6 linked regions of the Sus scrofa genome follow. The protein of the gene in region 5 interacts with the protein of the main gene of each other region in a pairwise test. Links are inferred from orthologs where the notes say so. Each region holds a gene or a part of one and is shown on either strand. Other genes may lie near its edges.

The links.
Region 1: the proteins of MAX (region 5) and PLEKHF2 interact in binary tests that used the Homo sapiens proteins (3 or more experiments, as listed by UniProt). The two-hybrid records come from large-scale screens. The link is inferred for Sus scrofa from reciprocal best matches to the Homo sapiens genes MAX and PLEKHF2.
Region 2: the proteins of MAX (region 5) and MXD3 interact in a two-hybrid assay, tested with the Homo sapiens proteins (4 studies listed by BioGRID). The link is inferred for Sus scrofa from reciprocal best matches to the Homo sapiens genes MAX and MXD3.
Region 3: the proteins of MAX (region 5) and MXI1 interact in binary tests that used the Homo sapiens proteins (3 or more experiments, as listed by UniProt). The link is inferred for Sus scrofa from reciprocal best matches to the Homo sapiens genes MAX and MXI1.
Region 4: the proteins of MAX (region 5) and UNC45A interact in binary tests that used the Homo sapiens proteins (3 or more experiments, as listed by UniProt). The two-hybrid records come from large-scale screens. The link is inferred for Sus scrofa from reciprocal best matches to the Homo sapiens genes MAX and UNC45A.
Region 6: the proteins of MAX (region 5) and MXD4 interact in a two-hybrid assay, tested with the Homo sapiens proteins (2 studies listed by BioGRID). The link is inferred for Sus scrofa from reciprocal best matches to the Homo sapiens genes MAX and MXD4.

The regions. Positions count from the first base shown.
Region 1 is NC_010446.5:41,532,133-41,536,230, forward strand, and holds the start of PLEKHF2 (pleckstrin homology domain-containing family F member 2), read right to left. Parts: upstream 2,801-4,098; 5' UTR 2,649-2,800; intron 2,397-2,648; exon of another isoform or gene 2,312-2,396; intron 1-2,311. UniProt on the Homo sapiens protein: May play a role in early endosome fusion upstream of RAB5, hence regulating receptor trafficking and fluid-phase transport. Enhances cellular sensitivity to TNF-induced apoptosis.
Region 2 is NC_010444.4:80,635,774-80,639,782, reverse strand, and holds the start of MXD3 (max dimerization protein 3), read right to left. Parts: upstream 2,801-4,009; 5' UTR 2,394-2,800; coding exon 2,324-2,393; intron 2,059-2,323; coding exon 1,953-2,058; intron 1,286-1,952; coding exon 1,256-1,285; coding exon of another isoform or gene 1,126-1,255; coding exon 1,011-1,125; intron 1-1,010. UniProt on the Homo sapiens protein: Transcriptional repressor. Binds with MAX to form a sequence-specific DNA-binding protein complex which recognizes the core sequence 5'-CAC[GA]TG-3'.
Region 3 is NC_010456.5:120,719,912-120,723,132, forward strand, and holds the end of MXI1 (max-interacting protein 1), read left to right. Parts: intron 1-164; coding exon 165-328; 3' UTR 329-2,721; downstream 2,722-3,221. UniProt on the Homo sapiens protein: Transcriptional repressor. MXI1 binds with MAX to form a sequence-specific DNA-binding protein complex which recognizes the core sequence 5'-CAC[GA]TG-3'. MXI1 thus antagonizes MYC transcriptional activity by competing for MAX.
Region 4 is NC_010449.5:53,537,547-53,541,046, reverse strand, and holds part of UNC45A (protein unc-45 homolog A), read right to left. Parts: intron 3,363-3,500; coding exon 3,192-3,362; intron 1,972-3,191; coding exon 1,800-1,971; intron 1,177-1,799; coding exon 876-1,176; intron 62-875; coding exon 1-61.
Region 5 is NC_010449.5:89,144,266-89,147,765, reverse strand, and holds part of MAX (protein max), read left to right. Parts: intron 1-1,902; coding exon 1,903-2,026; intron 2,027-2,490; coding exon of another isoform or gene 2,491-2,575; exon of another isoform or gene 2,576-2,591; intron 2,592-3,268; coding exon 3,269-3,456; 3' UTR 3,457-3,500. UniProt on the Homo sapiens protein: Transcription regulator. Forms a sequence-specific DNA-binding protein complex with MYC or MAD which recognizes the core sequence 5'-CAC[GA]TG-3'. The MYC:MAX complex is a transcriptional activator, whereas the MAD:MAX complex is a repressor.
Region 6 is NC_010450.4:1,214,008-1,218,223, forward strand, and holds the start of MXD4 (max dimerization protein 4), read right to left. Parts: upstream 2,801-4,216; 5' UTR 2,638-2,800; coding exon 2,574-2,637; intron 2,474-2,573; coding exon 2,374-2,473; intron 1-2,373. UniProt on the Homo sapiens protein: Transcriptional repressor. Binds with MAX to form a sequence-specific DNA-binding protein complex which recognizes the core sequence 5'-CAC[GA]TG-3'.

The sequences.
Region 1 (4,098 bases), on a different chromosome or scaffold from region 5:
TTACGCCAGGCATTCTAAAACAAAATTCTAAGACAAATTCTAACAAAATAATTATTGGTAGAGAAATCAGAGTTGTTCTGTCAAAAAGCTTAAATATATAAGCATGACCTTCAAAATTTGTAGGCATTAATTCTATTTCCATGTAGTATAAACACTAAATACAGAGGCACTTTTATTTTTCTTATTTTTTATTTTTATTTTTTGTCTTTTTCCTTTTCTAGCGCCGTACCTGTGGCATATGGAGGTTCCCAGGCTAGGGGTCAAATCAGAGTTCTAGCCGCCGGCCTACGCCACAGTCAAAGCAACTCGGGATCCGAGCCGCATCTTCGACCTACACCACAGCTCACGGCAATGCCGGATCCTTAACCCACTGAGCAAGGCCAGGGATTGAACCTGCAATCTCATGGTTCCTAGTCAGATTCATTAACCACTGAGCCAAGACAGGAACTCCCAGATGCACTTTTAAATTATGATTATTATCCTTTTGTTGACTCACAGCTGTTGTTTCTTTGCTGCTTATCCTTCTGTCCATATCTACTCTGAAATTTCACAAACATTCAAGTTCTGTACCCCCAGACCAAAATTAATGAGTTGCCAAGGTAAATTCTCAAAAAAAAAAAAAAAAAAAAAAGGTGGTTAGAGAAGATTTAACTCTTCTGCCCCTGAAAGTGCAATTTAACAAGAAATTCATAAAGCGTATTTACAAGAAACACATGTGTATTTATCCATTCAAACCTTTCCTGAGCATGTGCTATGTTCTGGGGATGATGAGGCAACTCAGACCTGACCTAAACCTGCTGTCAAGAAGGTGCCATGACAGATACATTTACTGGGATGCAATGGGATAGATAGGTGAATTATTCTTGGGGAGAAAAAGAGGATGGGGTAAGGAGAACAGGGCAGAAGGAGCTTCTATAGGCTTGAGTGAATAATTTTAGGAGGAATAATTTCAGTACATGAACTCTCATAAACTGAGATTTCCTAAGAAATACTCCAGGAAATAGATATACTGAGAAACTAAATTAAAATCAGAAAGAGCAGCTAACAGACGAAACAAGGTGGAGAGAGACTACTCCACAGGAATGAGTTATATATCCTGCAGTTACGCTGTAAGAAAAATGAGAAGGCTTCAGTCATAAGATCTCACTTAAATACCAGTTTGGCTGTTAGATTTGAAGTTAGTTAAATCACTTTATTTGTAGGTAACTCTTCATACAGAAAAATATATACATATAATGGCAATTACCTAACAGTGGGGAAAAAAAGGTTTTTTTTTTTCTTCTAGAATTAAGGAAATTAGCGATCAAATCTGAGCCGAAGCTATATTTTTACCTAAAGATTGATAAGAGAAATTCTCCAAGATATGTTTAAGGGTTTATCTGATTTGTAGTTAAAAAGTCCTTTCAGTTCATTAACAGAATTTGGAAGCTCAAATGCCTTCATTAAAACTAGTAATTTACATTCACTTACTGGGGTGATTCAAGCTGAATCTTTTTTGATGCCTTGGTCAGTACACCAGTTTTATTTTTTGAGGCGATTACATGTGCTTTCCAAATAAGTAACTTAATACCATTCACCTCCAGTGCTGTGAGGACCCAAAGAGATTAAAAATAGAAGCTTTCCTTAATACCGAATTAACCTGAGGACCCCATGAGCTCGCAAAGGACAGAAAAATCTAAATGCTCAAAACACAGTAGGCAAGCACCTTTAAGGAACCAAAAGGAGGGGGGAAACCTCGCAATGTCAAGATCACTTCACCTTATTCTAAACAGAACACATGCCTTTGAGTCTCTCAATGTTCGTGTCTAAGTCCTTCTTTACTGAATTTGTTCTTCAGTGACGTACTGAAACACAACAAAGAAAGTATTTACCGATTTACAAACTTTGTGAGTCTCTGAATTACAGAGAAGAACTTGGTTATCTGTAACCTTAATACTACCCACGATTTCCAGTGCACACTCACAAGTTACTGCTTCAATGTCCTAAGGGCGCACAAGGATAGTCAAGCAACATGAAGAGGCAGCTCTCGGCCTTTAATAAAAATTTAAAAAATAAAGGAAAAATAAATTGGGCAAAAGACCATACAACTTTTAAAAGATTCCAAGTAAGTAAGACGTTAGAGCCAACGCTTCTATCAGGGTAAATTCTGCGGTGCCATTTTTGGCCGCCAATCACATAAAAATACGCTGTTCAGATTACAACGTCCGCGATGCCCAGACCCTGCAAACTTTTTGGACAGAGAGATGTTGGGGCCCTAAGATGCCATTGGCCACGACTGGGACCCCAGTCCCCGCGCCTCCCAACTTCTCACCCGATCTCAGGGTCCGCTTCGCGTCCGCCCGGCCCCCGCCCCGCGGCCCGGAGGACAGAACGAGCACCGGCACGGCCCCCCGGGCGGCCCCCGAGCCCTCCCGCAGCGGCGGCGGCGTCCTGCGAGCGGGCGCGGCTCCCCCAGGGCGAGGGGAGCGGCCGGGAGCGCCCCGTTTCTCACAGACCCCAACATGGCGTCGGCCGCCGCCGCCCGAGACGACGACACCTCCCCGCGCCGCCGACGGCCGGGGACCGCGGAGGGAAGCGCCCGGAAAGTTTCGCTTCTCCTCTCCCCGCCCGCCGGCGGCCGGTGGACAACCAACTCCGGCTTCACCTACCCGGCCGGGCGCGGACGGCGGCGGCGGCGGCAAAGGTCCGACTCCTCCTCGTCCCGAGCGCCGGGCGCGGACTCTGCTCGATCCTCCGCCCCAGCCTCCCAGAGTGGGCAGCCAACAGCGTTTCGCAGCCGGCGCGATCCAGACGCGGCGGGCTGGCGTCGAAGCCGCTCGCAGGTGACCCTCCCGCCCCTCCAGTCGAACCCCACAACGGCCGCCGGGGACAGCCTCTCCCCTGCGCGCGCACGGGCGCGCCGCCACCCACACGCCAGCCGCGAGCGCGGGCACGAGCACACCCACACCGCTCGCTCCCCGCCCTTTCTTGCCCGTTCCCTCGCCCCGCCCGGGCGGCCCCGCGCGACGAGCTCGAGGGGGCGGAGCCACCACGAAAGCCACACCCACCTGGGTAGCCAGGGCCTGGGGTTGGTTCCTCCGTGCTCAGTGGGAACGCGCGCCTTGGAGCCGATTGGGCGCACGTGGGACGTCTTACCTGGGCTGCCTAGCTGCGGGCAAGTCCTTGGAAAGGATTGTTCATCTGCCCACGAAGTTCTTAGCGAGGCTGGAAGAACGGAAGGAAGGCTGGGCCCCCTCTCCCACACCACCGAACTGGCCTGTAAGGGGAACTCAAGAACTTTCCACTGCCGGGAAATAAAAGCTGGGCGGACTTTTGTTTGCTACTCCCACTTTAGCACAGCGTTCCTGCCTGTCACATCTTCCACTGGCTTTTCCTAAGACCCCACCACTTGAAACAGAGGGAGCTGCGGCTACAACACACATACCCCATACAGTCTTTTAAGTGATGGATGACTTATTCCCTGACTTAGAACTCTGGTCTTTCCAAAACTTTTTCTCTGACGCCACAAACGTCATCCAACTTCACACATCTGAAAACAGTAATGATACCATATAAGGTTAAACCTGCCCTTCTTCATTTATAACGCAGCTAAGCGAGCTGACGGATACGTGGAGAGATGTTTAAGATGACTAAGATGAGGAATGGGGGGAGGAGACAGAATATTCACTTCAAACGGAAAGCGTATAGGCAGAAATTAGACTTGGGTAAATTTTATCTTTCCCGTTGATCTATTATTTCAAGGATATTTTACCTTTGATTATTCTTGAATTAGAACCACCGCACCCAAGCCACATAAAAGAGCACCCACCTAGGGATACATAAGCAGGAACTTTCTTTTGGTCTGGGATCCCCTCCAGGTATTCAGCCTCCCATCCTCACTTTTTCCATATCTCAGAAACAAGCAAGTCTTTTAAATAAAATTAGTAACTAGAAAAAAACTGCAAAACCGATATTTTTTTTTAATAGGAAAACGTAGACTATTACCACCAGAAAAACTTTACATCTGTTAGGTATAGTTGTCTCTGAAGACAAGTGTAAATGTCCCCAGGATTCTCATCTGAACCATCACCCTACCCCAATTTCATTTAGTTCCTTCTT
Region 2 (4,009 bases), on a different chromosome or scaffold from region 5:
CAAGGCTTCAAGGAAGGAGCAATCCCTAGGTCCTGCCCACAGGCCAGCCAGCATCTAAGTACACATCACACATCAGCCCCTCTGAGAACCAAGCAAGGCAAACTCCATATGAGAAACTGGAGCCTGCTACTCAGCCCCGGTGTTTTTCAGCCACAATGAGGGGAATGTGGGCATCTAGGCCCACACTGATTTACTTGCTGCACAGCACTTCCATCTGTCTCTGCCAGGGCTGGCAGAGCAGGTGCTCACTTGTTGAAGGCAAAAATGCAAGTCAGGAGACCCAGGCTTGGGTTCTGATTCTGCCTCTCAACAGTTCGGCTGCACCTCCATTACTCCCTCTGTCATAAGAGCCAAGAGGGCTGGAAAAGGCCTCTCTCTATCGCTTCCCAGGCACTTCTAGTCCCCACCATGCAGAGCTGCCTTGTGCTCTAGTCAGCACACTCCACTCCCGTCCACTAGGGGGCGCTGAGCTCAGTCCTGGCAGCAGCGAGGGCACCTGGAGGATGGTTCACTGGTGTCCTCTCAGGGCTTTCACCCTCCCAGCCCCTGGAGCTGCCTCCCAAAACAGGGTCAGGAAAGACTGCCCAGAGCAGGAGGCCTTGAAGGATGGGGGAGAGGAAGAGTGAGAACCAGCTCTCTACCTTCTGAGGGACCCTTACACATGACCCGTCACAGAATGCCTCCCATGCAGAGGAGGAAATGAAACCCAGAGAGGCTACGTGACTCGTCCAGGGTCCCACAGTTGGGATCCAAGTAATAATTGCTATAATAACAAGTGAACATTTATTGGAAGAACTTGCTTAAAGCCTCAGAACAATCCTCTGAATTATTTTCTATTTTTCTTCCTACCTAACAAATTTGGAAACTAAAAGCACAGAGAAAACAGCCCCATGTCTCACAGCTGGGCCACAACCTCAGACCTCTCTCCTCAGTTCCACCCGGCCCCTCCCGACTGCCTTGCTTCACACATCCTGGCAAGCTGGCCCCAGGGTGCCAGGGTAGCTCCTTACCTGGATGTGCATCCTGGCCCTGCGCAGAAGGCTCAGTGTGGTGTATCGGGCACAGTCAGCCCCCAGGGGCATCTGCTGCTTCAGCTGCTCCAGGCACCGCTTCAGCTGGGCCCTCCTGCGGGGAAGGGGTCTAGAGGGCAGTGCCAGCCCAGACTTGCTGGCCAGATGAGGGACAGCAGGGGAGGGAAGGCCAGAGGGAGGCAGTTCCTGGGGCCTGGTGCTGTCAGGGCAGGGTTGGGACTCACCTGCGCTTTTCCAACTCGTTATGCACAGACCTGCCAATGCCAGGGAGGATGGGGTGAGGGGGCGTCAGCTACTGCCCACACCCTCACTCCCAGGGCTCCCAGAGGCTCAAAATTCACTACAGATGTGTCCCCCAAACCAGCCCGCTGTGGGGAGCTCGTACTGGCTTCAGGCACCTGAGTCGCCAGGCAGAGGCAGAGAGAGTAAGGAGGCCAAATGCTGACAGAGGCCTGCCCAGGTGACTGTGGGGTCCAAATCAGAACCCCAGCAGCAATCAGGAAGGGCTTCCTGGACACAGGTGACAACTGAACTAAGCCCAGCAACACAAGTTATTCAAAATGGGTAGTGGACAGAGAGGCATTCCAACTGGGGGGAACAGCATGTGCAAAGGGTTGAGAAGACAGCAAAGGAGTAAGCTTGGGGACGTAAGAGTGTGGAGTGTAAGAGTGTGAGGGGACGCAAGACCCAGAAGTGTCTGGTTTACAGTTCCTAACATACCAGAGAAAGAGTCCTTGAACGAAGAGTGTTAAGGGGCGGGAGAGGAGGGGAGAAACGGCAGGAGGAGTCTGAATACCTCCAGAGGAGGGTACCTGACCCAGACGATTCAAGCAACAAGGATGAAGTGGGCAGTGGAGGGGCCCGAAGAGGGCCGGCGCCCATCCCCCACCCCAGGTCCCCGCTGTCCCCAGCCTTCCTCACCGCCCACTGTCCAGCGCGCCAGGATCTTGGGGGGACCGCCGCCTCCTCCTGTGGACCGGGCCAGGACTTCGGTGCGGAAACAGGGACGCATAGCCATGCTCCGCCTCTGCGGGAGAGAACCCCCGCCCGCGTCAGGCTGGGGCTAACACCAGCGGGCGGCCCTGGCACAGTAGGATCAGGGAGGGCCTTCTGGCTACAGGGCTATGTCGCCAAGCCCTCCCACCACACTGCCCGACGCCTCTGAGGTGAGGGAGGGGTGCCCCAGAACTACTGCCCTAAAGCCATGCATCTTTCAAGTTGGGAGCCAAGTCCAGCCCAGGCCCATGTCAACGAGGTCGCTGCCTCGAGTAGAACCAAGGGTTCTTCCTCACCTCTCTCGCGGCGCTCCAGGAACTCGGCCGCCTGCAGCAGAACTTGGATATTGCTGGCCACGGGTTCCATGTCCGCGACAGCTGGCGGCGGGCTGGCCTACGGTGCTGGCCGGAGGAGCGGCTGCACCACTTTTGTTACAATGTAACTGACACGGCGCAACAAACACAGGCGCTCGGCCCCGCCCCCCAGGACGCCCCGCCCCGCCCCGGGACAGCCCAGCTCCTGGCCCCGCCCTCCTGAAACTTGCCGGGGAACCTCGGGGAACCTCGGCCCACCCCACGCGACCACGCCCGCCCCCTCAGACTTGTAGGGCTGCTACAAGCTTCGGCTCCAGGCCCGACCCTTGGACAAACTCCTGGGCTGGAGGGTTGCTGCGTCCTACAGCTTCGCTCAGCAACTCCACGTCTGTTACTTGCGTTTCTAGGCCTCAGTTCCCAGCCCCGTGCTGGTGGCGAAAGGCCGGAACACAGAATGGTGCTTTGGGGGCGGGTGATCTCTAGGAGGCCCCTGGCTCCGCCGCTGCACGTGGGCACGGCGGAGGCGGGGCCCGACGGGCGCCCTCACTCATTTGCCCATTGCCTCCTGCGGCCAGCTGTCTTCACCTTGGGGCGGGGCTGGGGGGCCTCTGAGGCACCATTGGCTGCGCGCGGTTCCGCCTTCTCCCGCCGCTGGTCAACATGTTCGGGCGGGAAAAGGAGCAGGTTTCAAATTTGAAAACCCGAGCGAGGAGGGCGGAGTTGAGCGGGGAATGGGGCCCGCAGTGCGCAAGCGCCAGGGAAGAGGGGCGCGGATCTGGCTCCTGCGCTCCCGGGTCTGTACCTTTGCCTGCTTGCCATCTGCCCCCGTAACGCCCACTGGGCCTCAGCTTCCTACTGTGGCGGATGGGAATAGTCTCCCGGCTCCTCCAACCCCTCATCTGCAGGGAAGCTACTGTCGCTATGAAAACATCAGAAGGGTACCAACTTGAGAACTGATTTGCTAGGGTTCTGGAGCCGACACCAATTCTTCTTGTCACCAATACTTCTCAGGAAAATGCCTTCCTTCCTGTAGGATCGAGAAGCCTTGGGACGGCGTCTTTGAAGGATCTGAACCCATGCCTATGCTGTGTGCAGTTTGTAGAAGCTCCTGGTGTCTTAAGGTTGGTGCAACCTGATGCAGGCTTCTTCCTCCCACAGGGCCCCTGGTCGTCTTACTCGGAGTCCATGGGCCCTTCTTTAACGTGACTTTATAGCCTCCTGAAGAAGATGCAGTGACTTCTATGGGTAGCACCACGAGGTGTCGTCACACCTGAGGGGGCGGTGAAGCCTAAGGGTGGAGACCTGAAGATGAAAGCAGCTGTTACAGGGTGGAGCATTACCGCCAGACTGGGGCTGGGTCTGTGACCCGGAAAAGGAGAGGATGGAGAAGTAGGAACTAGATTCTTTTTTTTTTTTTTTTTTTTTTTTTTGCTTTTTAGGGCCACACCTGCGGCTTATGGAAGTTCCCTGGCTAGGGGTCAAATCAGAGCAATAGCTAGAGGCCTACATCACAGCCACAGCAAGGCAGCATCCTTAACCCACTGAGCAAGGTCAGGGATGGAACTTGCGTCCTCATGGATACTAGTTGGGCTCCTTAGTGCTAAGCCACAACAGGAAATCCCTAGATTCTTTAAAAAGAGACAGTCCTGGGTAAACACATAGCACATG
Region 3 (3,221 bases), on a different chromosome or scaffold from region 5:
ACCAGACATTTCCCTTTGCAAAATCCCTGTGTCACTTCACCTTTGATTCCTCTGTTCTTCAGAGATCACAGTTAATAGCTTGTATTACAATTATTTTCATGCCCTGTTCTTGAAAGTGCACATATACCAGATTACTAATGTTCTTCCTTTTTTCCATTTGGCAGAGGAGATTGAAGTGGATGTTGAAAGCACAGAGTTCTCCCATGGAGAAGTGGACAATATCAGTACCACCAGCATCAGTGACATTGATGACCACAGCAGCCTGCAGAGTATTGGGAGTGACGAGGGTTACTCCAGTGCCAGTGTCAAACTTTCGTTCACTTCCTAGAACCCAGCATGACATAACAGTGCAGGGCAAAATACTCACTGGGCCAATTCAATCCAAACAATCTCTTAAATTGGGTTCATGTTGCAGTCTCCTCTTTAAAACTAAACAAAACTATACTTGAACAAAAGGGTCAGAAGACCTCTATTTAAGCAAATACTTAGCAAAAAGTGGGGCAGAGCCTCCCCAGCAGAACAAATATTCATAATATTCATATTTGAAAATCACAATTTCTAATGGCAGCAGAAAACTTGTGTGAAATTTTCTTGATTTAAGTTGATTTGAAAGAGGACATTGGAAATTCCATCCTCTTTTTCTTTTCTGGGTTGCTCATACTACATTGATTGAGTAGACACATTTAAGGATGGGATTATGAACCCTTCTAAGTTTTTTGGTCCTAAAAACAAACAAATATCAAACCTATAGTAATGACAAGACAAGATAATCAGGCATTAACCTTGGATAGCTAAAGAGCTATTAAAACTCAGCCTGGGACAGCTTATCATGAAGCCTGTGGATGATCAATTCTTAAAACAAAAAACAAAACAAAAAAACACCTCATTTCATGCTCTGCAAAAGGAGAGACTCCCATGAAGCCTTTTAAAAGGGATCATCATATGCAGCTCAGCTTTCTGTTGGATTCCATGCTAAGCAAGCTAACCTTATCCTGCATTGTTAGCACTAGGGCAACCCAACCTCCAGCTCAACAGTCAGCCGCCCTTAGGCCCATGGGCAGCATGGGGCAGTCCATGTGCATGACAGCCTCTACCACGCAGGGCCTGAGTTTGGATTGAGGGGCCAGAAGGAAAAAGCTCCACGTGCCTCTGTGTCTGCGTGAGCCAGAAGAGTTGTCCACGCAGATTAGCAGGCCAAGGTCTGAGCCACGGCAGCATTTTTATTTTCAGATTTTGATAACTGTTTGTATGTGTTAAAAACCAAAATGACATCTTTTTAAAGCTTGTCCATAATAGACGTCTTTTATAGTGAAAAACACATGGGAAAAAAAAATCATCTATTTTGATGCAGCATTTGATAATGATAAAACACCTCACACCTCACTCTTTATAGTGCACAAAATGAATGAGGTCTGGGCTAAGTAGAAAAAAGGTCAATGCTGTTTTTGTTTTGTTTTAGAATCATTACCTTTTACCATCTTTTAACCATCTATAGTAGACACACTATCATAGTTAACATAGTTAAGTTTGGCACTTGTCTCAATTTATGTGAAGATTTGCTTCCGTTTTCCTACAGGCAGTCTCTCTACTTCCTCACAATCCCACTGTGCAGGTGCTATTGTCGCTCTTGTCAATATTTTCAGAAATGTTATTTTCTTTTAAGTGAAATTTCTAGCCTGCACTTTGATGTCATGTGTTCCCTTTGTCTTTCAAACTCCAAGGTTCTCCCCTGGCCCTTTCCCCGACCCTGGGAAGCCTTGGAAACCTTACCTTGGCTCTTTGGACTTTGTATACTTTAAATAATTTAACTACCCTTAATTACTTAAAAAAGAAAAAAAAAGCTTTATGATTTTCATAACTTATTGCTGATTTTAATGGGTTGTTAATTTCAGTCCTGTAGTTTTATTTTGTTTAGATAGGGCTGGGCAAGGAAAAAGGAAATAAAGACAACCATATTTAGCAGTGCAGATGAGTTGTGTGTGTAATGTTAGACTATCCTTTGTAAGTAGCACTTTAACAGCTCTCACTGCTTCTATATATGAAGTGAACCATCTTGGTCATACACAAGGCCTCATCATATATTTACTTGTCCTTGTGCTCTTCCTGTGCCTCCAAAAATATTTTATCCTTGATTGTGGTATGTATGAGTGGAAGAAATTCTTTGAAATAGATGTGTGAAAAACTGCATGCCTTTAGAAGCCCATTATTAGAACTTGTTACTTCAGGTGCTGGGGACTTAATGAAAAACATGATAAATTCATTTCTGCGGCCCAGGTAAATTATTTCTGGTTTCATTTATAATTACTCCTGGCCAGGTCAAAATGTTGCCCTATATATTTGTTTTCCCAAGGGAGACAGTTTGAAGACTGCTAAGTACCTTGGAAAGTAAATGGAAGCCAATGACAGAATTTCCATTTTGTTGTTCCCAGGGCATTCATTTGCATCACTTGTCTAGGGCTGGAATTTGGGACTTTATTCAGGTGAACTTGAGGTGCTGCCATTTTGTTGTGTATGTACAGGATGGTGGGCTGGGAAGCCTTTGTCACAAACCTATAGTACTTATTTCAACTCCCCCCTAAATTACTCCTTCCCTGGATTTGTTTTCCTTGGGGGAGGGGAATGGATTGTATGATGAGTAAGAAGTATTAATTTTTTAAAAGACAAATCGACTTTGAAGATACAAAAAGTTAACTGCAAGAAATAAAAATTGTGAATGAAAAATACCTGAGTGCTTTTTGTACCACCCTTCTCTATGAAGGAAAAAGTATCAGTGAGCATCCATACCTTGAGGTCCAGCTATCTTATAAAATGTCTGTTGATACTACTTCAGTGGTCCGAATTAATGGCAGCTTAAATCATTGCCACTTCCTAGCCTGTAAATAGATACCTTCTTGACTAAGAATTCCATGTAATTTTGTTATTCCCAGGGCATTCATTTGCATCACTTGCCTAGGGCTGGAGTTTCAGACTTTATTCAGGTGAACTTGAAGTGCTGCCATTTTGTTGTGTATGTACAGGATGGTGGGCTTGGAAGCCTTTGTCACATATAGGTGATTTAATGCACCCGAAATTATTCTCCAGATAACATTTTAGAGAGTCCCTTTAGCTATGTTATTTCTCAAATTGAAAATTTAGTCGCCATTTGGAGTTCCTGTCGTGGCACAGTGGAAATGAATCCTGACTAGGAACCAAGAGGTTGCAGGTTCGATTCCTGGCCTCAC
Region 4 (3,500 bases), about 36 Mb from region 5:
CTTCTGCAAACTGTTTCATGCTAAAGTCGGTCCCTCCGGCCGAACCGAGCTTGCAGAGTCCCTGGAGGAAGGAGCAAGAACCAGCCGTTGGCCTAGGGATGGGGGCAGGTCGGGGCTGGCCCACTGCTAACGTGGGCTCCCCTCTGCCCCCGGCACTCTGCTAGGCTCTCTGGAGGCCATGCACACCCCCACAGGCTACCACCTGGAGCACTGGGCAGCAAAGTTGGCTACCAGTGTGGCCAGGGGACACAGCATCTGGGAGAGACTGACATACGGAACAACGTGCTGGCCTGGGCCCTGACCCCTCATGTCCACACCAGAATCTGCTCTGCTCCTTTCCATGAAAAACAAGAAAGCTCTTTGCAGGTGGAGCGAGGATGAGGTGCATAGAGAAGACAATGCCTCCACCAAGACCAAGATCCTCATGGCATGGAGAAACCCAGGACTAAGTGCCCCAAAGTGGAGGACCAGCCTCCTCAAGGTGCAGGGCTGAAGTAGACTCATGGAGGCCAGGTGGGCCCCGAATCACCAGCGCCTGAGGCCACCTGCCAGCCCAGTGTCTCCACCCAGCCCTCTGACCTGCCTGGCACAGCGCATCCTCCAAACTCCTCCACAATCTCCGGGAGCTGCTCCTGGCGCCCACAGGGGGCAGCACATGCCGCCCTGCATTCTCTGTTGTCCTCTCTGTACAAGGCTCATCTCCCTGACCCGACCACGAGCCCTGGGAGGAGCCAAGACCCCAGCCTCTGGCCTTGACCGGGCCACATGCCCCCTATTTTCATCTAGCATGTGCTGGGGCTGCACCCTGAGACACCAGCCAGCCCAGTACCCCTGCTCGGCTGCCAGCTTGCCCAGCCCAGGCCTGCCCCTCTCACCACCAGTGCCCGGATGCGGATGCGGTCCTTCTCGCTGCGCTTGTATAGGTCCTTCAGCAGCGAGACGCCGTTGGCCGTGATGAATGAAGCCCGCTTGGCCTTGCCGGCCGCGTGGATCAGGGCCTCCACGGCCACCAGCTGCTCCTCCTCCTGCTCCGAGGCACACAGAGCGATCACACTCTCCATGACACCATTCAGCTCCAGGGCCCGGTTGCCGGCGTCACATGGGCCCTGCAGGAGGCAGGACACCGTCTGGATGGCCCGCAGCTTCCCGGCCAGCCCTTGGCCCTCAAACCAGCTCCTGAGGGGCACAGGGTGGCAGCTGTCATACCAAGGCCAGCAAAAAGGGACACTCTTTTCCTCCCTCTCACTGGCCAGGCATCTGCACTCCTTGGGCAGGAACAGCAAGAAAAGCTGCCAACGGGAGGACACCCCCCAGACAGCAGTCCCTGATCTTCACCCAGGCTTTTATTCGACCCTCCCCTGATGACATGCCACCTGATCGAGGTCACTCTCACTCATACCACCCTTGCCTGTCTCCTTCCCCGCACTGAGATCTGATCTTAGCTGCTGCTGTCATTTCTCATTCTCCATCAACCCTCTCCTAGCTGTGAGGTACCTCGCAGGGTAAGGACTGTCATGGGGCATGACTGAGTCAGAAGTGACACACAATAAGTGCCAGGTGAACAGCATGTGCCTGAGGACATTTGTTGCACTGGAGAACTGACATAAAATGGAACGTCCCTAGTTGGGGGCAGGGGGGTCACTCTGGAACAAGAAGTGGGCCTTGCGACCATGCTGGCCCCCGCTAGCCCTCCCCAAGGGCTGCCCTCCTGGGGGGAAACCTTCCACTGCAGTCCTTCCCCCAAGGAGTCAGAGCTCTCACTGGAACCCTGACCACAGGAGGCGGGCCAACTCCCTTACTTGATGTAGTTTTCACAGAGTCGATGGAAATTCTCCCTCTCGGCATCACACCTCAGGTCATCGAAGAGCTTGCTGAGGAGAATGGAGGCGCTCATGCGGCTGTTTGCCGTCACTGTGAGCTCCCCAGGGGGGTCCTGCACAGAGCCCCCCACCTCCAGAATCTTTTTCAGACCTGAAAAGATACCCCATTTAGACAGCAGAACATGAGGTCCAACCCCCATGGGCAAAGGGAAGAGATTTCCTGGGAGATGCACAGAAAGGCTGGATCTCTCTTAATTAAGGTCACAGTGCAGTCAGGTTCAGAGAATCTGATTGGCTGCCGAGAGCAGCGGGGAGGAGCAAACGTGGGGTCAGGGAAAGACCTCAAAAGTAAGGTCTGCGGTCCAGCCCTACCCGTGGGGCCAAATGCTCTAGGGCTTTGTGGTTCCCAGTGTGGCGCAGCAGAAACAAATCTGACTAGTATCCATGAGGATGAGAGTTCGATCCCTGGCCTCGCTCAGTGGGTTGGGAATCTGGCACTGCCATGAGCTGTGGCGTAGGTCACAGACACAGCTCTGATCCCGAGTTGCTGTGGTGTAGGCTGGCAGCTGTAGCTCCAATTTGACCCCTAGCCTGGGAACTTCCATATGCCGCAGGTATAGCCCTAAAAAGCAATAAAATAAAATAAAATAAAACTGAAGGGGAGGAGTTCCCATTGTGGCACAAGGGAAACCAATCTGGCTAGTAACCATGAGGACCTGAGTTCGATCCCTGGCCTCACTCAGTGGGTTAAGGATCCGGCATTGTCGTGAGCTGTGGTGTAGGTTGCAGGTTGCAGACTCGGCTTGGATCCCACGTTGTTGCTGAGGCTGTGGTGTAGACTGGTAGCTGCAACTCCAATTAGACCCCTAGCCTAGGAACTTCCATATGCCACAGGTGTGACCCTAAAAAGACCAAAAAAAAAAAAAAAAAAACCTGAAGGCTAAAGTAACAACCACACCTCACAGGATAATTGGGATGACAAGAAAAGATGAGTAACCAACAGATGTGCGCATGCTGGCACTTTTGCCAAGCTTTCCTTACTTATCTTTTAAGAGAAATGAGAAGTACGGATTTATTTATTAAACCTTGAGAATATTTTCTTGCATACAAAAGTAATACACACTCACTGAAAAACACTACCCGTACAGAAAGCTGACCCAGCCTTGTTAACCTGCTGGCAGGCCTGCTCTTTGTGCATGCACGTGCACACACACGCAGCTGCATAGCCCAATGTTCCCTGGGGCCAATGTGGCACAGGCCACACATGCACTCTGGTGCAACCACATGCTGAATGCAATCACTCCTGGGGATAGGCAGGCCCAGCCACCTGAGCAAGATGCAACACAGGCACTTGGTCTCTTTATCACTTACCTTGATCAATGACCCAGAGGGTGAGGCTGTTGTTGGGGTCCTTAGGAGACTTCCGGGGCACCACTTTAATCAAGAGGGTCAGGGCATTGTCACGGCCTTGGCCGGAGACCCCAACCTCAGTTAGTAGCTCCAAGAGGTTACTGATGAGGACTTTCAGCTCCCGGGCTGGATCTGGCAACACGAAGACATTACTGGGCTCCACAGGGGCCGAGCTGATTTTTGACCCTGAAACTGCCCAGTGGTGGGGGGAGGGGGTGGAACCTGCATCCTGGACTCCGTGGGCTCCAGCCTTGCCCACGGGTACTGTGG
Region 5 (3,500 bases):
TTAACAACGGAGCTTAGAAAGCATCTGTCTCCTGGATTCCTAAACTCTTCTCCCCACTCTGCCACCCTGCCCTTTTCCTGCAGTACTGTTTTTAATCCCATCTCTAGCATCCAGAGGCAGGGTATTTTAATTAGTCCATTTAATTAGTTCATTCTAAATATGTGCCACCCCCCCCCCATTTTATCACCTAATAATTGACTCTAGTAAGTCCCTTTTGGCAGAAATGGGAAACATCTGAAGTGGCCGTATAATCATCTGTAGGTACTCTCATTCTTTCTACACAAGCTGACTTAGTCAACTAAAGAAATAGACTTGGGCCCGTCCCTTCCCCATGTCTCGCCTGTGCTGTTCTCCCTGCCCGGAGTGACTCTTTCCCACAGATTCCACCTCAGTCTAACCCCAGGGTTCTCTGATTCAGGTGGGAGCCTGAGTGTGCAGAGCCAAGGCTAATGTCTGGCACACAGAAAATGATCACCCAGCCAGAAGCTGTTTTTCTTGTGACCTTTCTAATCTGTACTATTCAAGTTATACTTGTTAGTACTGCTCTGTGATTTGTCTTTGTGTAGATATATGTATATCTCGTCAACTAGTGAGCAAGTGAGCTTCTGGGCAGAAGAAGCCATGACTAATACATTTTGTTTCTCCACAGTGTCTGCTCAGTGCCTTGCACGTAATTCACTCCAGATAAAGTCGATTGAATGTGAACAATTTCCTTTTGAGGAAATTGCCTTAAGGATGCTATAAGAGGAAAGCCTGAAAAGGCTAATATTTGTGAGGACTGGTGAATAAGCCCAGGCCTTCCAAATCTCTCTGATACTCAGCCCAGCTGGGGTCTGAGTTGAAATTGTCAGGATTTACTACACGTAGTTTTCGTTTTGCTTGCCGGAGCACACAGCTGTTTTCTTTGCCATCAAAGAAGCTTTGCTTCTGCTCAGGAGCCTCAGTGGTCTGACCGCCACACTTTGGCTACTAGACTACCCTGTCTTGGGCTTCAGTTCTCTTGGCTTCATACCCTTCCACCAGTTCAGCTGGTTGGCTGCCTTGCTATGAGTAATTCTGGCAACGTTTGCAATCTATAGGGAATCTTCCAGGCAAGTCTGACCTGCAGGGGCCGAATAACCTAACATCCATTTTATTAGCTTATTAACTTGTTCCTCTGACAGGGCAATGCCTAAGCTACCCAACAGCCATGGTAGAGGTGTGTGGTTGCTTCCTGAAATGGCCCAATCTCATGCCCTTCCTGTGTTGACATCAGGCTCTGACAGCTTTCACAAAAGTCTTTTTAGCCAGAGAGGCTGAAATAGTGACACTTGCAGCATGGCTCAGTTGAACTAGTTAACAGCGGTCTGAGGGCTTATCTCAAATCTAGGACCTTGATGAAAACTTTGTACCATTTCCATCCTGAGCCAGCTCCAAATGGGATCTTAATCTTGTCTTTCTGAACCAGCTTCCTATAGCCAGGCCCTACCGAGAGTGAATGGCTTAAGCTCTCGGTTAAGTAGTACTTTAATGTTTTCAGACTTAGCCAGGCTGAAGACTTGAAAGCAACCTCAAGAACCAAAGGGAATGGACAGGGTACAAGTTCAAGATTCAGATGTACCTGAATCCAGGCGCTACCACTCTTGAGCTGGGGATTTAGGATAAGTCAGTAGACTGAGCCTTGGGTTCCTGGTGGAGCGCCCTCTCTCAGAGAGAGCCAGTGAGGTAAGCTATATAAAGCAGCTGGTGCCTTGACTGGTACAGAGAAGATTCTTGGTAGCACTCACACTGTTTCTTCAGCCTCGTCCCCTCCACCCTCCTGCTTCCATTTCCCCGTGTGGTTGTTGCTGAAAGGCATGGTTTCCTCACTGCATGGACTAGGTCTTTATTTTGTCCCCTTTGCTTTTTCTCACATTGCAACAGGCATCCCGGGCCCAAATCCTAGACAAAGCCACAGAGTATATCCAGTATATGCGAAGGAAAAACCACACACACCAGCAAGATATTGATGACCTCAAGCGGCAGAATGCTCTTCTGGAGCAGCAAGGTGAGCAGCGGAGCTTGTGGGGCAGTGGCCCTGCTGTGCTCCAGCCAGGTCAGGGCTTCGCACCCGGGCCTGCAGAGTCAGGACCAGTTCCAGAGTGTGTGCTCCTGAGCAGCTGCGGCCCTGCTTCTCGGGCCTGAGTAGCTGAGTGGTAGAGTCATCCGAGGAAGGACCTGAGACGTCAGTGAGGGAACAGTGGAGTCTAGGGTTTAGACATCTGGAGACTTTTCTCTGACCTGCTCTCTCTCCCCTTCTTGGGGCTCAGGCGCTCTGTTTGCAGTAGGGCATCAAGTGTCTCGAGAGCTGTGAGGTCCTTGGATCGGAGTGTGCTGTGTAAGTGCCAGAGACTCCAGGTGTTCAGGGACAGTGAGCGCTCCCGGTGTCACTGGTAGTCCAATCAGGGCAGCCTATGGGCCAGGCCCATGCTGTTCTCCAATGCTCACACCCGCCTTTTCCTACAACCACAGGGGAAAGCGAGAGCTGATCAAGTTCTTTGTTCCTGGGGAATTCACTTCTCTTCCTCCCTCATGGAAGATGCAAGTAAAAGGAAATGCAAGTAACCACCTGGGTTAGAACACCTCAAATAAACTAAACTAAACTAAATGGGTTATAACCTTCCAGGCTCAAGATGAGCTGAGCTGAGGGATGGGCAGCGGGAGGTGGCAGCGGGTTGGTTACTGGGCTGAGCAGCCTGCATGTAGGGGCTCCGTGTCGAAAGGCCCAGGTATTATTCTCTGTGTATTGGTGACTTGCTTCCAAGTGTCCAGCTTGTCTTTCCAAGTGAATCGCATACAAAAGTGCTAAGCCAAAACTTTTCTTTGGCTGATACATCTTCTGTCATCCTTTCCTGCTGTTGTGTGGCCTCCACACCCTTGCAGAGCCTGGCGTGGCCAGGCCGGCTTCTCTGTTACTGCACTGCTGGGTCCCACAGGGAGCTCGTGCTCCTGTCTCTATCCCGGCCTTCCACGGCAGGACGGTGACATCACAAGACTTCTCTTTCGATTGGGTGGCATTGCAGAGTGTCTGGCCTTGTCCATTCCACTGGGCACCCAGGTCTGGCTGGGAAAGGAGGAGGGAGATGAAGTGTGCAGGTGGAACAGCCACCAGAAGGGAGATCCTTTTGAGCCACTCTGAGCCTCGGGGGCCAGCAAGCCCTTCGGAAGAACAGGCTGGACCCTGACCTGAGACTCGGTTGCTCCCCTAGTCTCCAGAAGGCTGTAACCCGCTCGCTTGGTTGCCTTTCAGTCCGTGCACTGGAGAAGGCGAGGTCGAGTGCCCAACTGCAGACCAACTACCCCTCCTCAGACAACAGCCTCTACACCAACGCCAAGGGCAGCACCATCTCTGCCTTCGATGGGGGCTCAGACTCCAGCTCGGAGTCGGAGCCCGAAGAGCCCCAAAGCAGGAAGAAGCTCCGGATGGAGGCCAGCTAAGCTCCGCGGGGCAGGCCAGCAATAAAAACTGTCTGTCTCCTCCG
Region 6 (4,216 bases), on a different chromosome or scaffold from region 5:
GGGGGCTTGGGCCTCCATTCCTCCCACCAGGGCAGCCGGCTCCTGGGCCTCCCTGTGCAGCCTCAGGAGAACGTCCAGGGCCTCGAGGGCTTGCTGGTCACACGGGCTGGGCAAGGAGCCTCAGAACCTCTGCCAGGGCTGGGGGTGGGGGCGGGGGTGGGGGGCACAGCCGTCAGGACCCTCGCTGGCCTGAGCCACCGCCCGTGCTGTCATCTGCAGGTCAGCTCGCGTGCAGGCGACGTGTGGGTCGGCGAGTGCCCTTTAGTGCAGAGCAGCGGACCAGAGTGGCCCTCGCAGGCCGGGCTGGACCCCATTCTGGAGAGAGGGCGCTGCTCAGGGGTTACAGAGGGGCCCGGGGCCCTCCTGATGCTCCTCTCTGGTCTAGGCACTCGAGGAGCCTTGCGGGGGAGTGTGTCGCATGGGTCCCAGGAGCATGGAGGCCTGGGGAGGAGAGGCGCTCCCTGGCCGGGGCTATGTTTCCAGCATCACAGCTTGCTCACTCCACCTCTTGAGGTGGGAGCTCTCTTCCAGGACCTCATCCCTGGCAGGCTGGTTCCAACCCCCTCCTGCTGCACCCCTGCCCCAAGGCCCTTCCTGTAGCCCTGGCACCCACATGGTGGCTGCTGTCTCCCCAACACACGCTGCCCTTCTGTCCCACTACCCACACTTCATCCTACTCCCTGCTGTGCCCACCCCTTTCCCCCTCCTTCTGGGGACACAGAAGCCTTGGAGGTGCGGAGCTGGCCGGCAAGCCAGAGCTCTGGGTCCTCTGGGCCCTGCCCTGCCCTGGCCCCTGGGCTGGCTGAGGCCTCGCTGGGCCAGGACAGCCACGTGGGGCCTCCTGTGAGCCTCGGGATATGCCCGAAGCATGGGGAGCTGGGCTCTATCCAGAGAAGCAGGGGGAGGTGCCCCCTGGTCTGGGAGACCCTCCCAGGGCCCTGGGGTCTCCATCCCAGCAGAATGTACGAGGCCAGGATCCCACCCAGAGGTGAGAGGGTGGCCAGGCAAGTAGTTCAATCTGTCAATGCCTCAGTTTCCTCGGTCCTAAAATAGAGATAAAAATACCACCTCCTTCGTGGGGTTGGATGAATATTAATTAGCATTTGCATGAGAATCTCAGCTATGATGGTAGCTATGGGCCCTGGGTACCCTATGCCACAGGAGGAAAAGGTCACAGGCCCAAGTTTTCCATGGGTGGCAGGGTGCTTGGCACAGTGAGAACCAACAGCAGGGGCCTGGCTCGCTCACGGACACCTAAGGCAGTGGTGTCCCCCACCAAACGGTCCCCAACAGGCGACCAGGGGCTGGGACTTAGAGGCACGTCCAGCCAGAGCAGATGGAGCCTCAATCAATTGCTTGCCAGGCCGAGGGTGCCAGGACGTCACAGGAGATGGGTCCCTGAGCCAGCCTTTCTGTTTCCCAAGAATGAGCACGCCACAGGAATGAGCCGCGCCCTCTGCCAAGGGGCCCCAAAGCCCCCTGGAAAGGCAGCTCCCAGCCTGGTGACATGGTCCAGGGCCAAAGTGGGCCCCTGGGCAGTGCCAGGTGTGCCGTGGTCCCCACAGCGGCCAGGAGAGTGTAATCCCACAGAAACCCTACCGGAAGGTCCTCACTGCCACCCAGGGATATGCACCCCCACGTTCAGGCGCCTACAGCCAGGGTACAAGGCCAGAGCAAGAAGAGGGGTCTCTGGCACTGGGAGAGGCTGCTGCACGTGGCCCCACAAGCTCTTCCGGCCCCCTTAAAAAGGGCCTTCTGACCCAAAGAAGGGGACACCCTCCCCCCGCACGGGTCGCTGGAGTTTCACTTGTGTCAGGAGTTTGGGAAGGAGCGGTGGGCACCGTGCGAGGGCTGAAGGCCCAGGGCAGGGCTTCCACACTTCTTTGTGCAGGTCCCTGGGGTGGGAGGACTCAGTCCAGTGGCGGGGCTCGGTCCTTGGAGACAGTGCAGCCCACCCGCCCGCGGGGGCAGAGGTCGCGGCCAGCAGCCCCACGCTGCCCTGCACCAAACCTCAGTTTCCCTAAACCCACCGGGGATCCGCCAGCGCCCCTGACAACTTTTTTTCCTGCCAGGAAAAGTACAGAACAACTTGGGGGCGGGGAGCGACTGCGGGAGGAGACCCCGGGCGGCGGGCGCTGTACGCGTGGCACTGTTTACGCGAGAGTCCGAGGAGGCGCGGCCCGCGGGAAGATGGCGACGGCGCGGGCGGGGCCGGCCGGGAGGGGCTGTCGCGGCCCGGGCATGCCTCCTCCTCCAGGCTGGCCGCCGGGGCGTGCAGCGGCGGCGGCCGGGCTACAGGCTGGGGTCGGGCCGGGGGAGGGCGCTCCCGGGGCGTAAGCCCCGGGCCTGGGGGCGCCGCGCGGGGGGTAGTACCTGTTGTTCGGGGCCTTGCGCACCAGGCCAGCCGCCTTTGTTTTCTTCCTGGCAAAGTCGCCATCGAAGGGCAGCACCGAGGCGTACCCGTGCTCGGCCTCTGCAGACAGACGGCGCGGTCAGCTGGCCCCCGCCCGGGTCCCGGCCCCGCCGCCGCCCGCCCGCCCGCGGCCCGGCGCACAAAGGGGCGCAGGCGCTACCTCGGTCCCTGCGCTCCAGGTACTCGGCCGCCTCCAGCAGGATCAGCAGGGAATTCAGCTCCATCCTCCCGCCCACCCCGCGTGCGCGCTCCGGGACGGCGGCGGCCGCTGCCCGGCCCGCTCCGGCCGGCTCCGCTCGCCGCCTGCCCCGCGCGCCCTGCGGCTCCACTTCCCCGACTCTCGCGGACTCCTAGCGCGCTCGGCCGCCACCCTCCGCTTCGGGCCCTCAAATTGACACATAAGGGCGAGCGGCGGCCGGCACAACCAATGGGAGTCGGCGATCAGGCTCCGGGGGCGGGCACCGGACTGGGTCGGGGCCAATAGGAGCCGGCCGAACGCCTCGGGCCGGGCCGAGAATGTTGACAGATGCGAAGCTCGGTTCCGATAGGCCCGCCGCGGTAGTAACAATTTAGAAGCCCAAGCTTAGCAACAGCACGTGGTGGCCCGGCCCCCGCGCTCGCTGACTGGCGGCAGGCGTGCATGTTAAGTAGGCGCCGCGCGCCGATTGGCCCAGAGCGGTCTATGTAAAATAGGCACGGCGGACCAATGGCCGGCCTCGGGGCGCGCAGCCAATGAGGGCGCTGCGGCCGGACGCGTTGCCGAGAGGAAGCAGAGGGCTGTGGGATCGCCTGCCGCCCGGCCACGAGCCAGGGCCCGTTAGGGCGCAGGGAGCATCCCAAATACCCCGCCGGTGCGCCGGATCTGCACACACCGTGCACAGGAACCTGTCGCCCCGGGCCTGCTGCCATAACTGGCTTCGCGGAAGCTCGGGGCCTCGCGGTCTCCTCGGAGGTCTCTCGTGGGGCTGCAAAACGACAGCCCTCCTCGTCGGACACAGCGCGATCCCAGGAAAGGCTAGGGTTTGGAAGAGGGGCCTAGACGGAGGATCTCAGTAGGAAACTGAGGCCCGGAGCTGCAGGGGTCCCTCAGAGCTGCCCAGTGGACCCTAGGGCTGAAGGAAGGATGTGAGAAGAGAAGGGTGCCAAGATCTGCCGCCGCAGGGCTCCCATGAGTGGAGGGCTGCGTGCTCCTGTCTGGCCCAAAGGGTGGGGACATTCCAAGAGGCGAGCGCTTGTCCCCTCTGGCCATGGAAGCGCTTTCTAGGGAAGAGAATTGCCCTTCGTGGGAGGGGCGAGAGCTCCCGGCTGGCGGGCTGGCAGGTGGCCCTAGTGACGCCTGACCCTAAGCTGGCCCCATTGGAGCAGGGACTGGCAGGTTAGGGGCAGCCCCAGACTGGCCACAGGCCTCCTTAATTTTCCCTCTCACTGGTCGTTGAGACTGATGGCCTGGGAGCTCCTGTACAGGGGGCCAGCTAGCTGGAGATTCTGGGGTGCAAGGTGGCTGGACACCCCCTCCAACACAGACACTCTGCTGCTGCCAGCACAACAGGACAAAACTAAAAACCTCACAGTTTCAGCCTGAGGGCCTGTTGAAAGCTTTATATGCATTTCCTTGTTTCGAGAAGGACTGACAGAGCTGGGAATCCTGAGGTTAGGGACTCCCCAGGGTCTCCCAGCCACCCCTGCCCTCCCCAGCACCCTCCCCCCCCCCACTGCCTCCCCCATGGATTAGTGCTCCCATATGCTTGGCCAGGGCTAGTGACTCGGCATGGAGACCAAACCACCTCCTGGTCCAGCACAACT